Linked DNA regions of Xenopus tropicalis. The protein of the gene in region 1 purifies or fractionates together with the protein of each later gene. This does not show direct contact. Links are inferred from orthologs where the notes say so. Each region holds a gene or a part of one and is shown in the gene's direction. Other genes may lie near its edges.

Evidence for each region. The genes of interacting proteins can lie anywhere in the genome.
Region 2: the proteins of swsap1 (region 1) and spidr purify together in Homo sapiens (co-immunoprecipitation; 3 studies listed by BioGRID and IntAct, with this or other methods). This does not show direct contact. The link is inferred for Xenopus tropicalis from reciprocal best matches to the Homo sapiens genes SWSAP1 and SPIDR.

Annotation. Positions count from the first base shown.
Region 1 is NC_030679.2:140,119,110-140,127,574, forward strand, and holds swsap1 (ATPase SWSAP1), read left to right. Parts: upstream 1-5,304; 5' UTR 5,305-5,319; coding exon 5,320-5,676; intron 5,677-7,007; coding exon 7,008-7,427; 3' UTR 7,428-7,770; downstream 7,771-8,465. UniProt on the Homo sapiens protein: ATPase which is preferentially stimulated by single-stranded DNA and is involved in homologous recombination repair (HRR). Has a DNA-binding activity which is independent of its ATPase activity.
Region 2 is NC_030682.2:112,969,319-112,977,002, forward strand, and holds part of spidr (DNA repair-scaffolding protein), read left to right. Parts: intron 1-2,360; coding exon 2,361-2,430; intron 2,431-3,799; coding exon 3,800-3,970; intron 3,971-5,847; coding exon 5,848-6,011; intron 6,012-7,684. UniProt on the Homo sapiens protein: Plays a role in DNA double-strand break (DBS) repair via homologous recombination (HR).

The DNA of each region.
Region 1 (8,465 bases):
GGCCCAGCCTGAAGGCCAGTTAGGGGGGGATTTGGGGTGAGTGCTTATTTGTGCCCTGGGTACCCCTGGAACTATAGCGGGGTGACTGTTACCCCAATGTTTCTATATATCTGTAACCTTGTTATGGGCTAAGGGGGCCCAGCCTGAAGGCCAGTTAGGGGGGGATTTGCGGTGAGTGCTTATTTGTGCCCTGGGTACCCCTGGAACTATAGCAGGGTGACTGTTACCCCAATGTTTCTATATATCTGTAACCTTGTTATGGGCTAAGGGGGCCCAGCCTGAAGGCCAGTTAGGGGGGGATTTGGGGTGAGTGCTTATTTGTGCCCTGGGTACCCCTGGAACTATAGCAGGGTGACTGTTACCCCAATGTTTCTATATATCTGTAACCTTGTTATGGGCTAAGGGGGCCCAGCCTGAAGGCCAGTTAGGGGGGATTTGGGGTGAGTGCTTATTTGTGCCCTGGGTACCCCTGGAACTATAGCAGGGTGACTGTTACCCCAATGTTTCTATATATCTGTAACCTTGTTATGGGCTAAGGGGGCCCAGCCTGAAGGCCAGTTAGGGGGGGGATTTGGGGTGAGTGCTTATTTGTGCCCTGGGTACCCCTGGAACTATAGCAGGGTGACTGTTACCCCAATGTTTCTATATATCTGTAACCTTGTTATGGGCTAAGGGGGCCCAGCCTGAAGGCCAGTTAGGGGGGAATTTGGGGTGAGTGCTTATTTGTGCCCTGGGTACCCCTGGAACTATAGCAGGGTGACTGTTACCCCAATGTTTCTATATATCTGTAACCTTGTTATGGGCTAAGGGGGCCCAGCCTGAAGGCCAGTTAGGGGGGGATTTGGGGTAAGGGCTTATTTGTGCCCTGGGTACCCCTGGAACTATAGCAGGGTGACTGTTACCCCAATGTTTCTATATATCTGTAACCTTGTTATGGGCTAAGGGGGCCCAGCCTGAAGGCCAGTTAGGGGGGGATTTGGGGTGAGTGCTTATTTGTGCCCTGGGTACCCCTGGAACTATAGCGGGGTGACTGTTACCCCAATGTTTCTATATATCTGTAACCTTGTTATGGGCTAAGGGGGCCCAGCCTGAAGGCCAGTTAGGGGGGGATTTGCGGTGAGTGCTTATTTGTGCCCTGGGTACCCCTGGAACTATAGCAGGGTGACTGTTACCCCAATGTTTCTATATATCTGTAACCTTGTTATGGGCTAAGGGGGCCCAGCCTGAAGGCCAGTTAGGGGGGGATTTGGGGTGAGTGCTTATTTGTGCCCTGGGTACCCCTGGAACTATAGCAGGGTGACTGTTACCCCAATGTTTCTATATATCTGTAACCTTGTTATGGGCTAAGGGGGCCCAGCCTGAAGGCCAGTTAGGGGGGGATTTGGGGTGAGTGCTTATTTGTGCCCTGGGTACCCCTGGAACTATAGCAGGGTGACTGTTACCCCAATGTTTCTATATATCTGTAACCTTGTTATGGGCTAAGGGGGCCCAGCCTGAAGGCCAGTTAGGGGGGGATTTGGGGTGAGTGCTTATTTGTGCCCTGGGTACCCCTGGAACTATAGCAGGGTGACTGTTACCCCAATGTTTCTATATATCTGTAACCTTGTTATGGGCTAAGGGGGCCCAGCCTGAAGGCCAGTTAGGGGGGGATTTGGGGTGAGTGCTTATTTGTGCCCTGGGTACCCCTGGAACTATAGCAGGGTGACTGTTACCCCAATGTTTCTATATATCTGTAACCTTGTTATGGGCTAAGGGGGCCCAGCCTGAAGGCCAGTTAGGGGGGGGATTTGGGGTGAGTGCTTATTTGTGCCCTGGGTACCCCTGGAACTATAGCAGGGTGACTGTTACCCCAATGTTTCTATATATCTGTAACCTTGTTATGGGCTAAGGGGGCCCAGCCTGAAGGCCAGTTAGGGGGGAATTTGGGGTGAGTGCTTATTTGTGCCCTGGGTACCCCTGGAACTATAGCAGGGTGACTGTTACCCCAATGTTTCTATATATCTGTAACCTTGTTATGGGCTAAGGGGGCCCAGCCTGAAGGCCAGTTAGGGGGGATTTGGGGTAAGGGCTTATTTGTGCCCTGGGTACCCCTGGAACTATAGCAGGGTGACTGTTACCCCAATGTTTCTATATATCTGTAACCTTGTTATGGGCTAAGGGGGCCCAGCCTGAAGGCCAGTTAGGGGAGGATTTGGGGTGAGTGCTTATTTGTGCCCTGGGTACCCCTGGAACTATAGCGGGGTGACTGTTACCCCAATGTTTCTATATATCTGTAACCTTGTTATGGGCTAAGGGGGCCCAGCTTGAAGGCCAGTTAGGGGGGATTTGGGGTGAGTGCTTATTTGTGCCTGGGTACCCCTGGAACTATAGCGGGGTGACTGTTACCCCAATGTTTCTATATATCTGTAACCTTGTTATGGGCTAAGGGGGCCCAGCCTGAAGGCCAGTAAGGGGGGGATTTGGGGTGAGTGCTTATTTGTGCCTGGGTACCCCTGGAACTATAGCGGGGTGACTGTTACCCCAATGTTTCTATATACCTGTAACCTTGTTATGGGCTAAGGGGGCCCAGCCTGAAGGCCAGTTAGGGGGGGATTTGGGGTGAGTGCTTATTTGTGCCCTGGGTACCCCTGGAACTATAGCAGGGTGACTGTTACCCCAATGTTTCTATATATCTGTAACCTTGTTATGGGCTAAGGGGGCCCAGCCTGAAGGCCAGTTAGGGGGGGATTTGGGGTGAGTGCTTATTTGTGCCCTGGGTACCCCTGGAACTATAGCAGGGTGACTGTTACCCCAATGTTTCTATATATCTGTAACCTTGTTATGGGCTAAGGGGGCCCAGCCTGAAGGCCAGTTAGGGGGGGATTTGGGGTGAGTGCTTATTTGTACCCTGGGTACCCCTGGAACTATAGCAGGGTGACTGTTACCCCAATGTTTCTATATATCTGTAACCTTGTTATGGGCTAAGGGGGCCCAGCCTGAAGGCCAGTTAGGGGGGGATTTGGGGTGAGTGCTTATTTGTGCCCTGGGTACCCCTGGAACTATAGCAGGGTGACAGTTACCCCAATGTTTCTATATATCTGTAACCTTGTTATGGGCTAAGGGGGCCCAGCCTGAAGGCCAGTTAGGGGGGGATTTGGGGTAAGGGCTTATTTGTGCCCTGGGTACCCCTGGAACTATAGCAGGGTGACTGTTACCCCAATGTTTCTATATATCTGTAACCTTGTTATGGGCTAAGGGGGCCCAGCCTGAAGGCCAGTTAGGGGGAGATTTGGGGTGAGTGCTTATTTGTGCCCTGGGTACCCCTGGAACTATAGCAGGGTGACTGTTACCCCACTGTTTCTATATATCTGTAACCTTGTTATGGGCTAAGGGGGCCCAGCCTGAAGGCCAGTTAGGGGGGGATTTGGGGTGAGTGCTTATTTGTGCCCTGGGTACCCCTGGAACTATAGCAGGGTGACAGTTACCCCAATGTTTCTATATATCTGTAACCTTGTTATGGGCTAAGGGGGCCCAGCCTGAAGGCCAGTTAGGGGGGGATTTGGGGTAAGGGCTTATTTGTGCCCTGGGTACCCCTGGAACTATAGCAGGGTAACTGTTACCCCAATGTTTCTATATATCTGTAACCTTGTTATGGGCTAAGGGGGCCCAGCCTGAAGGCCAGTTAGGGGGAGATTTGGGGTGAGTGCTTATTTGTGCCCTGGGTACCCCTGGAACTATAGCAGGGTGACTGTTACCCCACTGTTTCTATATATCTGTAACCTTGTTATGGGCTAAGGGGGCCCAGCCTGAAGGCCAGTTAGGGGGAGATTTGGGGTGAGTGCTTATTTGTGCCCTGGGTACCCCTGGAACTATAGCAGGGTGACTGTTACCCCACTGTTTCTATATATCTGTAACCTTGTTATGGGCTAAGGGGGCCCAGCCTGAAGGCCAGTTAGGGGGGGATTTGGGGTGAGTGCTTATTTGTGCCCTGGGTACCCCTGGAACTATAGCAGGGTGACTGTTACCCCAATGTTTCTATATATCTGTAACCTTGTTATGGGCTAAGGGGGCCCAGCTTGAAGGCCAGTTAGGGGGGATTTGGGGTGAGTGCTTATTTGTGCCTGGGTACCCCTGGAACTATAGCGGGGTGACTGTTACCCCAATGTTTCTATATATCTGTAACCTTGTTATGGGCTAAGGGGGCCCAGCCTGAAGGCCAGTTAGGGGGGGATTTGGGGTGAGTGCTTATTTGTGCCCTGGGTACCCCTGGAACTATAGCAGGGTGACTGTTACCCCAATGTTTCTATATATCTGTAACCTTGTTATGGGCTAAGGGGGCCCAGCCTGAAGGCCAGTTAGGGGGGGATTTGGGGTGAGTGCTTATTTGTGCCCTGGGTACCCCTGGAACTATAGCAGGGTGACTGTTACCCCAATGTTTCTATATATCTGTAACCTTGTTATGGGCTAAGGGGGCCCAGCCTGAAGGCCAGTTAGGGGGAGATTTGGGGTGAGTGCTTATTTGTGCCCTGGGTACCCCTGGAACTATAGCAGGGTGACTGTTACCCCAATGTTTCTATATATCTGTAACCTTGTTATGGGCTAAGGGGGCCCAGCCTGAAGGCCAGTTAGGGGGGATTTGGGGTGAGTGCTTATTTGTGCCCTGGGTACCCCTGGAACTATAGCAGGGTGACTGTTACCCCAATGTTTCTATATATCTGTAACCTTGTTATGGGCTAAGGGGGCCCAGCCTGAAGGCCAGTTAGGGGGGATTTGGGGTGAGTGCTTATTTGTGCCCTGGGTACCCCTGGAACTATAGCAGGGTGACTGTTACCCCAATGTTTCTATATATCTGTAACCTTGTTATGGGCTAAGGGGGCCCAGCCTGAAGGCCAGTTAGGGGGGGATTTGGGGTGAGTGCTTATTTGTACCCTGGGTACCCCTGGAACTATAGCAGGGTGACTGTTACCCCAATGTTTCTATATATCTGTAACCTTGTTATGGGCTAAGGGGGCCCAGCCTGGGGATTTTATCCCCCTTTGGATAAACTCGTAGTTACACCAGATATTCCTGGGCAGTAGGTTAAACTTGAGAGGCTACTAACCTTTACAACTGTTATGCAGCTATGTGAATAACTAATAGGGCAGAATGACAACAAAACAAGGGAGACTGCATAAGATTTTCCACAAAAGCAAAAATCCTCTATACCGAATGTACCTCAGCAGAAACCATCTCAGTACTTGACAAGACACTGAGGTAAACCCTTCATTACACCCACAGACCAACACAACCAATAGAACTTCTCTCTTTTCGCTTACTGTAAACCGAGGCTTGACACGCATAATGCAAGTGTCTTCACTTCCGGACTTTCAGCCAATCAGCGCTACAGAGCTGGCTGCATGGGCTAAACCATTTTGCATGGCACAAACTCTGAGCAGGGTGCTGAGCGAGTTGTTGGGGTGTAAGGAGTTCCATAACCAGGGGGATCCCGGTACCAGTGTTCTGCCCGGCCATGTTAGCTCAACGGTTTCTTCCGTGCTGCTTGTCGGCCCCCCCGGCTGTGGGAAGAGCGGGCTCCTGTTTAGCGCCGCCCTTGTGGCCGCGGAGGAGGGTGCGGGGCCGGTAATATTTATATCCCGGGAGTCCCTGCAGCGGCTGCCCGGGGGTGGGAGGGAAGCCAGAGAGCCGCTCCTACTCAAGGTGATTCTATAGGGAAGGAGGTTTATATGGGGGGGCAGAGAGACAGGGTGTGGCTACCAGGGAAGGGCTGGGGGGCGGGGCAGAGAGACAGGGTGTGGCTACCAGGGAAGGGCTGGGGGGCCATGAGTGCAGGGCAGTAGTTTGTATTGGGCCATATTATGGGGGGACTGGGAACAGCTGTGAGGTGGGTTCTGACTCCGCGGGGTTGGGGCAAATGGGATGAGTGATTTATAGAGCCTTAAGCTGGCCATACACGGGCAGATCCTGCAGGTGCCCCAGCCGCGTCCCCTAACCCCCCCCCCAGGGGCCCCCCTAACCCCCCCCCGCAGGGCCCCCGCCTGACGTCCTCCCCGAGCGTGTATAAATTGAACGCGTCGGGGAGGAACAGTCAGTAGGGGGAGCGCCGGCAAAGGTCGGACTGGGCCGCTGGGGCCCACCGGGATTTTTCCCGGTGTCCCGGCGGCCCAGTCCGACCCTGGGCAGATCCGCTCGCTTGGCGATGTCGCCAAGCGAGCGGATCTGCACCCGATATCCCCACCTACGGGTGGCGATATCGGGGAGGCATGTAGGTGAATTCGATCGTTTGGCCCTGGGGCCAAACTATGGAATTCTGCACGCGGCAATGGGGCAGTCGGTTCGGGGACCACATCAACGAGCCGATGCGGTCCCCAATCCGACGGGATTTTCTAACCTGGCCGATCAATATCTGGCCAATTTCAGGCCAGATATCGGTCGGCCAGCCCGCTCGTTTATGCCCCTACACGGGCCGATAAGCTGTCGAGTCGGTCCAAGGGACCCATATCTGCAGCTACAATCTGCCCGTGTATGGGGACCTTTAGGGGAAGGACATATTATGAGGGGACAGATAATAGAGCAAAGTGCCAGGGAAGAATGTTAGTTTAGGGCAGGGATCCCCAACCTTTCTTACTCCTGAGGCATGGGTCATATGTAAAAAGACTTGGGGAGCAACACAAGCACCATAACAGTTCATGGAGGAGCCAAATAAGGGCTGTGATTGGCTATTAGGGGCCTCTATGCACCCTATCAGCTTACAGGGGCTTTATTTGGTAGCAAATCTTGTTTTTATTCAACAAAAACTTGCCCCCAAGTCAGGAATTCAAACATAACTCCCTGGTTTGGGGGCACTGAGAGCAACATCCAAGGGGTTGGGGAGCAACATGTTGCCCCTGAGCCACTGGTTGGGGATCCCTGCTCATGAGTGTATCCAGATGGATTTGCATAGCTTTGGTTGGCATGTCGTACTTGTAGTTATTTTTTTCAGCTATTGTTCTGTAGCAGTTTTTGATCTTAGTAATTTTTTTTCTTTTTAGCGAATCCGGTTTCTGTATCCTTCTTCTCTCAGGGAGCTTCTGCACCTTGTCTCGTCCATGCACCTCTCCTTCCCAGCTCCTTCTCTAATTGTGGTGGATGGACTGGAACGCTACCTCGCTCCGACCTGTGGCTCTGCTGATGGGGCTCTTATTTCAGGCCTTTTGCTAGACTCTGCTGCACACTTTAAGTGCGGCCTCCTGATATCTGCAGCACAACCTCTGGAGATGGGTGGAGATGGAGCATTCCTGGCCGTGGAGCGATATTTTCCAGCCCAGTGCCATATCTATGGCGAGGTGACAACTGAGCAGGAAGAGGGCACCTTTCACATAAGCTTCCCTTCCCATTTCCCACCTTGTGTCCTGCACACAGCAAAGGATGGTACTCTGAAAATATCACTTCCGAAAGCTTCATTTTCGTGACGGGATCGAATGTGAAAACTTACCACCTCATACTAAAATGTGTGTAGATCAGGGGTGCCAAGACTTTTTTCCGCGGCGATCGACTTTTGACTCCTCCCCGCGTACATACACATACCCAATAAACACGCGGAACCGCCGCACTTCCGCATTTCCCGGCTTCGACGCGGTCCACCAGAAATCCACAGGGGATCGACTGGTGGACCGCGATCAACATTTTGGCCACACCTGGTGTAGATGATAAATTCTTTCATGTTTCATGTATAGTGTTGATGCTTTTGCAACTTTTCAGAAAACATTGTTTAATGTAAATATTGTCAAAAAATAAAAAAATTTAACAACTTGACTACTGTGCAGTGATATTGGTATTTAAGCTGACTGGATATTGCAGTGGTTAGTACTATAATACTTCATGGACACCCAATTATTTTCACAGGAGATATTTGTAGTATTAAGTTTGGGTTGGTTTCACTATTCAACGCGAGGCATTTTCGGCGATTTGCCGAAATCGCGCCGCCGCGTGTGCCATCCCACCGGCAACTTACATTTTCGCCGGTGGGATGGCAACGGATGGCAACTTGGGGAAATAAGTCGCCCGCGAACAGGGAGATTTGTCGCAGGCGACTAATCTCCCCGTGTGCCAGAGCCCTTAAAGGTAATAGATCAGCCCCATTGTGTAAACTGTAAAGGCGCCCCCCCCATAGGGGGACACCTTTACAAGCACACTAATCAGCTCTGATAAGTCACTTGACAAAATAGTGATAAAAGCAAGCATTTTATTGGTTGTCCTGAGGCTATATTCAGGGTCGGACTGGGGGTGCAGGGGCTGCCGACCCAGGGGCCCTGCAGGTGCCCCCGCCGGCCTTGTCCCCCGCACCCCTTAGGGGCCCCCGCTGCACCCCCTAACCCCCCACAGAGACCCCTGCTGCACCCCCTAACCCCCCACAGAGACCCCCGCTGAGCCTCCCTAACTCTCTGCAGGGGCCCCTGCCCAACGTCATCCCCTGAGCGCGCCAAGTTTAACACGTCAGGAGAGGAACA
Region 2 (7,684 bases), on another chromosome or scaffold:
AAATTGTTTGGTCACGGTAAAGTATTTGTTCTCTCTCAAATATACTTAGAAACTCTTCTTACAAGTACGTCTATGGAGGGTTATGGGTCTATAGACTAGGCAGGGAGCAGCTTTTTACATACCAAGTTCTATGGCATTAATTAGAGCTGATCTAACACACCCACAGTAAATTAACAGTGCCGGGGTCTTTTTTTAATTTAGTAATTTTAACAAGGTTTGCCAACAAGGCTTTACTGTCAGAATTCTGTCATTAAAACAATAGGTGTTATAATATTTAGTGCTCATCCCTCATGTACTGATACAGTGGTTATTAACTTAATATAACTCCACATTTCAAGGAACAGTAACTCTACATTTCAAGGAACAGTAACACAAAAAATGAAAGTAATGAAATTATAATGTACTTTTGCCCTGCACTGGTGAAACTTGTGTTTTTGCTTCAGTAATACACTGTACTATTATATTTTAGTTAAACAAGCTGCTGTGTAGCTACAGGGGCAGCCATTTCGTCTGAATATAAGGAGAAAAGGCACAGGTTACTTAAGGTCCCCATACACGAGGCGATTTCACGCGTTGTGCGACAAACGATTATATCGACAAATGATCGTATGGCGATCGGGTTTCCATACGATACGCCATCCACGAACAACGATCATTTGCAAAAGATTTCATCGTATCATTATCGTAAAATACGTACGATCCAATGTCGTGGCGGAAGCGGTATTTATTTATTTATGTTCGTTGACTTCCGCTGCTGGCAATCATGACATGCGCAGAGAACAATCGTTCGAAGACAAATGTCTGACACTCACACCAACTGGCAAATTTTATCGTTAAACAACTAAAATTTTTAAACCTGGCCGATCGATTTTGGGGACGATAATGTTGGGTCGATTAGTGGGCCGACGATCGTTCGCACACCATCAACTATACAATAACTTAACGATAGTATCTGATCGTTCGGGAATCGGTCGTTTGACAGTAAAAAATCGGCCCGTGTATGGGGGCCTTTAGTATATAACAGAAAAGTTTTGTAGAATACAATGGGATTCTGTCTACTTATCTGTTATCTGCCTGTGCCTTTTCTCTTTTTTTCAGACAAAATGGCTGTCCCCTGGGCTACACAGTAGCTTGTTTACCTAAACGGTGATATTATAGTACACACCAGTTTTATAAGCACAGGGTGAAAGTACGTTATATTTTCATAACTGTAAAATACTTTTATTTTTTGGTGTTCCTTTAAGTATAAAATAAAGAGCAACAAATGTAGTTGTGAGAAGTCAGTTAAATGTTCACAATGTTTACTAGTAGTTAGTGTGTCCACAAAAGAGTTTATTATAAAAAATACAAAAAGAAAAATCAGTGATCATAGTTTTCAGATGTCTTGGCATGTCCGGAATCCCGTTATCCAGAATGCTCTGAATTATGGGAAGGCCGTCTGCCATAGACTATTTTAATCAAATAATTCATATTTTAAAATTGATTTTCTCCTTCTCTGTAATAATAAAACAGTACCTTGTACCTAATCCTAACTAAGATATAATGAACAAAACAATCCTAATGGTTTTTTTTAATGTTTTAATGATTTTTAGACTTAAGGTATGGAGATCCAAATTTTCAAGTTTTAATTTCAGGTGTCAGTATCTCCTTAAGGGCAGTGTCAAATGTTTTAAATGCTGCAATAAAGCCCCCCCCCCCCACCCCTTCCCAGTAGACTATCACTGAAATCTCCTGGCTGAAGGATCAATCATTATGATAGTTAATAAAGACATCTGTAAGCCTCTCTAAAGCTGGCGATACACGCACCGATAATATCGTACGAAACCTCATTTCGTACCATATTCGGTGCGCGTATGGCAACTCTGCGAGGCGACCGATATTGCAGGAGGCTGCTAATATCGGTCGACTCGCTGATTGGGCGCCATAGAAGGCGCCTGAGCAAAATCTGCCTTCAGGGCTGAATTGGCAGAAGGAGGTAGAAATCCTATTGTTTCTACCTCCATATCTGATGTTTCAGCCCTGAACGTCAGTGGTGGATTGGAACGATGGTCGCACAAAAGTTCGAAAATCGCCACGTGCGTAGCCACCTTAAGTTTTCCTGAAAGTCCCTGGGGTCCCAAATCAGATAAAGTAACCATGACTTATTAGATAGCATCTATTGTGCTGTAAATGTATTGTTCTATATGTAGAGTGTAAAGAGCTAATCTGTTTAATTGAATATTATGATGCAACCAAATTGACTCTTGCAGAAATAGGTGCTGGAAAGTCCTACTAAATGTGTGATGAGCACTAATGCTACAAACGCTGCTTTAATTTTGCATTCTATGTCTCTTACTCTCTTGTGTTCTCCTATCCTGTAGGCAGCAGCTTCATCGGAAAGAACTACTCTGCTTGGCAAGCCCATAGCACACACCCCTGTTTATGATGAAGGTAAATAGTACTGTTCTGACCTCATGCTTGTATGAATTATGTATGAATTATGTAAAACTGCTTGTAACATGTGTGGCCATAAAAAAGTGCTTAAACCCTTAACCGTAAATAGAATATATCACTAGCCTGACTCATTGTTAAATGGGTCAGACGTGTCCTTCTGTCATATGGAATGTTTTGTGCTATATATAGTATTTTCTCTCCACTGTCAGCTTGTAAACATTAATTTGTCTGAGAAGTGATCTACCCCAGGAAATAAGCCAGATTGGGGAATTTTAATGATGATATGTTTGGAATAAGTTGCCTGTAATATTGGTATGTTAACAGGATGGGTGAGTGGGTGATTTGGAGGTTGATTTGATCACGTATGTAGTGGGGGAAATGAGGGAAGATTTGATTGCTTTTTTCACCAGGCACTTATTGGATCACAGAGGACAATACTTTTGGTCACGATTGAGCAAATACTGAATGCAAGGTATTTTGCTCTTTACAACCAAAAAATTCAGGTTCCAAATAAGGATAATAATGCTCAGACTTACCAGTCAAATGCTCTAATACAGTAACCTATAGCAACCAGCAATCAGATGTTTACTGTTTTTTTTTCTTTTTTAATATTGGATACATGTTTTCATGTAATACTACTTTATCACAGTATCTGAGTTACAGGTTATGGTTGGGCGACTCTTCCCCATCCAACCCATAATTTTTTTTCACAACTTCTGAGTGTTCTACAGACAGATAAGCTTTCTCTCTGGTCTTCCTCCTTACACTTAAGTCTAATGCCACACGAGGCGTAGGGCGGATATTTTTGGCAAGCGTAAAAGCACTTGCTGAAAATTCCGCCCTACGCCTCCTACATGTGCCTGCACCCAAATGAATGAGATACACTCGGGTGCAGGCACATGTAGCCGATATACACATGAAAACGCGAGACTTTGCATTATCTTGCGTTTTCACACTTTTACGCTTGCCAAAAATATCTGCCCATGCCTCGTGTGGCATTAGCCTAAGATAAAAGGCTAACTTGGAACAGCTGCATGGAGCAGCCATAACGCTGTAGTAAGTGCTTTGCTTAAGACTAGTGCTACACTGGGCGGATTCTTGGCCTGAGAATCCGTCCCTGGGCTTAAAAAATCTGATAGTTGTGGCTGCACCCGGAGCCATTGCCTCGGCCCGGGTGCAGCCACACTTAGCGGAATTTGCCACAAAACTTAAGTGAGCAGTGTCATGCTGAATTTTGGCCAAGTAGCCACCCAGTGTGGCATTAGCCCAAGCAAGCAACATTTCCTGTCATTCATTATTTTACTTATTTGTCATGTTTTATAATCCTGTACATACAAATATTTGCCTTGAATGTTTCCTGCTCCAGATTGTAACGATAACAATCCTGCACGTATTGTGTGGAGCTCCAGTGACAGTGAGTTATCAAACGATGGAAGTAAAGAATTTAATTCCCGACTTGGATTTGCTAGTCGATCCTCTCGCAATAAGGGAAAATCATACTCCATGGATTTGTCTGCCTCTATGAAGCAATTTAATGGTAAGTTTTACAGAAGAGTGAAATGAAGCCACTTAATGCTTGGCCTTTGTGAGGGAGGTAATTACACTACCAGTGCATATACAGTGGTGTGAAAAACTATTTGCCCCCTTCCTGATTTCTTATTCTTTTGCATGTTTGTCACACTTAAATGTTTCTGCTCATCAAAAACCGTTAACTATTAGTCAAAGATAACATAATTGAACACAAAATGCAGTTTTTAAATGAAGGTTTACGTTATTAAGGGAGAAAAAAAACTCCAAATCTACATGGCCCTGTGTGAAAAAGTGATTGCCCCCCTTGTTAAAAAATAACTTAACTGTGGTTTATCAATTCAATGTTCAATTTCTGTAGTCACCCCCAGGCCTGATTACTGCCACACCTGTTTCAATCAAAAAATCACTTAAATAGGAGCTACCTGACACAGAGAAGTAGACCAAAAGCACCTCAAAAGCTAGACATCATGCCAAGATCCAAAGAAATTCAGGAACAAATGAGAACAAAAGTAATTGAGATCTATCAGTCTGGTAAAGGTTATAAAGCCATTTCTAAAGCTTTGGGACTCCAGCGAACCACAGTGAGAGCCATAATCCACAAATGGCAAAAACATGGAACAGTGGTGAACCTTCCCAGGAGTGGCCGGCCGACCAAAATTACCCCAAGAGCGCAGAGACAACTCATCCGAGAGACCACAAAAGACCCCAGGACAACATCTAAAGAACTGCAGGCCTCACTTGCCTCAATTAAGGTCAGTGTTCACGACTCCACCATAAGAAAGAGACTGGGCAAAAACGGCCTGCATGGCAGATTTCCATTTAAGCAAAAAGAACATTATGGCTCGTCTCAATTTTGCTAAAAAACATCTCAATGATTGCCAAGACTTTTGGGAAAATACCTTGTGGACTGACGAGACAAAAGTTGAACTTTTTGGAAGGTGCGTGTCCCGTTACATCTGGCGTAAAAGTAACACAGCATTTCAGAAAAAGAACATCATACCAACAGTAAAATATGGTGGTGGTAGTGTGATTGTCTGGGGTTGTTTTGCTGCTTCAGGACCTGGAAGGCTTGCTGTGATAGATGGAACCATGAATTCTACTGTCTACCAAAAAATTCTGAAGGAGAATGTCCGGCCATCTGTTTGTCAACTCAAGCTGAAGCGATCTTGGGTGCTGCAGCAGGACAATGACCCAAAACACACCAGAATAATCCTCCTTTTGCAGTAAAAACAAAGGGAGAAGGAAGGGAGTTGTGTATTGGTAATGTAATCACCCACCTCTCAAGGACTAAACATGAAGTTATTTCTATTTACTTGTTTAGCTCAAAAACTAACAACAAATGAGGTTATTGAAATCATTATCCAATTTTTAGAACATAAATATTTACAAATAAAATTGTAAACAGTTACTAATTATCTGCAATAATAACTGCCCTCCAAAAAATCAATAGAGCTGGATCACTTTTCTTTAAATTTTTTGAAATGTTCACAATTTCACCCATGATGGTATCCATTAAAAAATATCTACTGAAGTCTTCTTGCCATGGCAAAATTGATGCCATTGATTACATTTGTGAATTTACAGTAGAGTAATAATTACACTATTAATAGTTAATCATAAGTTTTAAAAAGTCATAAAATGATCTCAATTGCAGTATTTTTGGACCAACAAACGCTGCAAGGTTTATAGCAGAAAATGGAGTTGACCTTATTTGGTCTAAATACTAAAAATACTTTATACACCTCTAGAAATGGTTTATGCACCCCAGGGCCTGTGTTTAACAAACTGCAGTTATAATGAACACCAGCATGATGATTCAAAGCCAATACTGAAGTATGCAGATACCTGGAGAGTCAGTAAACTGAATTTAAGGTGCTCTTTTAGATGATGTCCCTGAGATCACTGGCTGGCAATATGAGTGTGATTCTGAAGAGGAAAAGAGGACATTTTCAGATGCAGCTGAAAGTGCTGTAGAAATATCTGATCCTGAGTCCTTATCCAGCAAAGCTACTGAATCCCAGCTACTGAAAGGGGCTGAATCTTCTAAAGTATGTAAATCTCTGGTATTGTTTAATAGTGCTTTTTTTTTTTTTTTTTTTTAAGAAAAATTATCTTATAGCAGGTTATATTTTAGATTTCCAGTAGAGGGCAGCAATGTTACATAGAAATTGTAAATGCTTGTGTATTTCATTTTTCTTTTCTTGGTGTAATGGTGCTCTGCAAATGTACTGTTGCTGGTAAATGCCTCTAATGTTTATGCGCTGGTGCAGGACTCGTGCATTTTCTTGGAGCAATGGTAATGGTCAAATTTTAATCATTTTAAGGGATCCAAACCCAAAAGATATGATGTAAACTTACTCGGAGTGCTTCTCTGAGCACTTTTGCAATTTACATTCATTTTCTATTTTTAGCAGTTTCTGAGATTTTTTAATTACTAATACCAGGCTTTTGGCTCAGCAACACTAATGGGTTAGGAGTGCATAGAAAGTACATAGACAGTTAGGGTTGCTGACAATATGGCCTTCAAAGAGAGCTGTTAAGCTGAAAGCCTTTTATTAGCAGTCTAAAATGTTCTAAGACTGCTAATATTTCACAAACCACTAAAAATATAAAATGTTTGTAAACTATAAAAGTACTCAGAGGAGTTACATTCAGTAAGTGTACATTGCATGTTTTGTGTTAGATCCCCTTTCATTTCTCGCATTAGTCTTATTAAATGTTTGTGCTTCGTATTATGTAAAATAGTAATTAACAAAATATAGTACCATATACTGTGTACCATAGCCAGTAAAATATCAGACAGTTCGTTCATACATGTTCTTTGATTTAGTGGAATAAGTTTAATGAGAGCCAAGTAGCAGTAGCACGCGTAATTCAGCAGAGCTTGGTGCGATTGATGGTGCAAATTGGCTCCCAAGGAGTATGTTTTTGCCGTATGCTTCTCGAGTGTGGGAGGAAACAGACACAGGGAAAACATACAAACTCCTTGCAGATAGTGCAAGGCAGTGCTGCCTAATACTTAATTGGGCTAGTCATTTTATAGTAAAAAAATTTAGTAGTTTATTTAAATGAGGTAGAAAAGTTGAACCATACTGGATGGGGTGGGAGGCCTTAAGAGTAGATGAAAGATCTGGCACATCCCCATAAAAGTAACTGCAAAGTCCCTCCAAAAATGTCTTCTTAATAGTGGTCTGTTAGAAATCTGCTAAACTTGACACTAGTGTGTGTGAATATGATAGGGACCTAAATTATAAGCTCCGTTTGGGCAGGACCAATGTAATGGATGCCACTATAAAATTTTTGTAGGGTAATCTGGTAAAGAAAAAGCAGCAGCTCAAAGATTCAGCTCATCAGGTTCACAATCAGAATAAGAATCAGTAGGGAGAATGGTGGGATATGTAAAGAAAGTTGTGGAAATATATCATCACTATTATAATCACATGGCCACACAGTTAATAATTCTAGGCCAAAAGTTTAGAGCTTGATTGAGCAAGGGTTTCACTGGGTGAAAATCAAGAGCATGGGTGTATATGTGTATATGTATGTATGTGTACATGTGTGTATATATATATATATATATATATATATATATATATATATATATATAATATATACGAACCCAGGGTGGCACTCTGCTTCAGCTCTTAGCTCGGGTGCAAGGTAAATGATTTAAATATCCAAAAAAGACCAGCAACACCGAGTTATATTCCAAAAACAATCA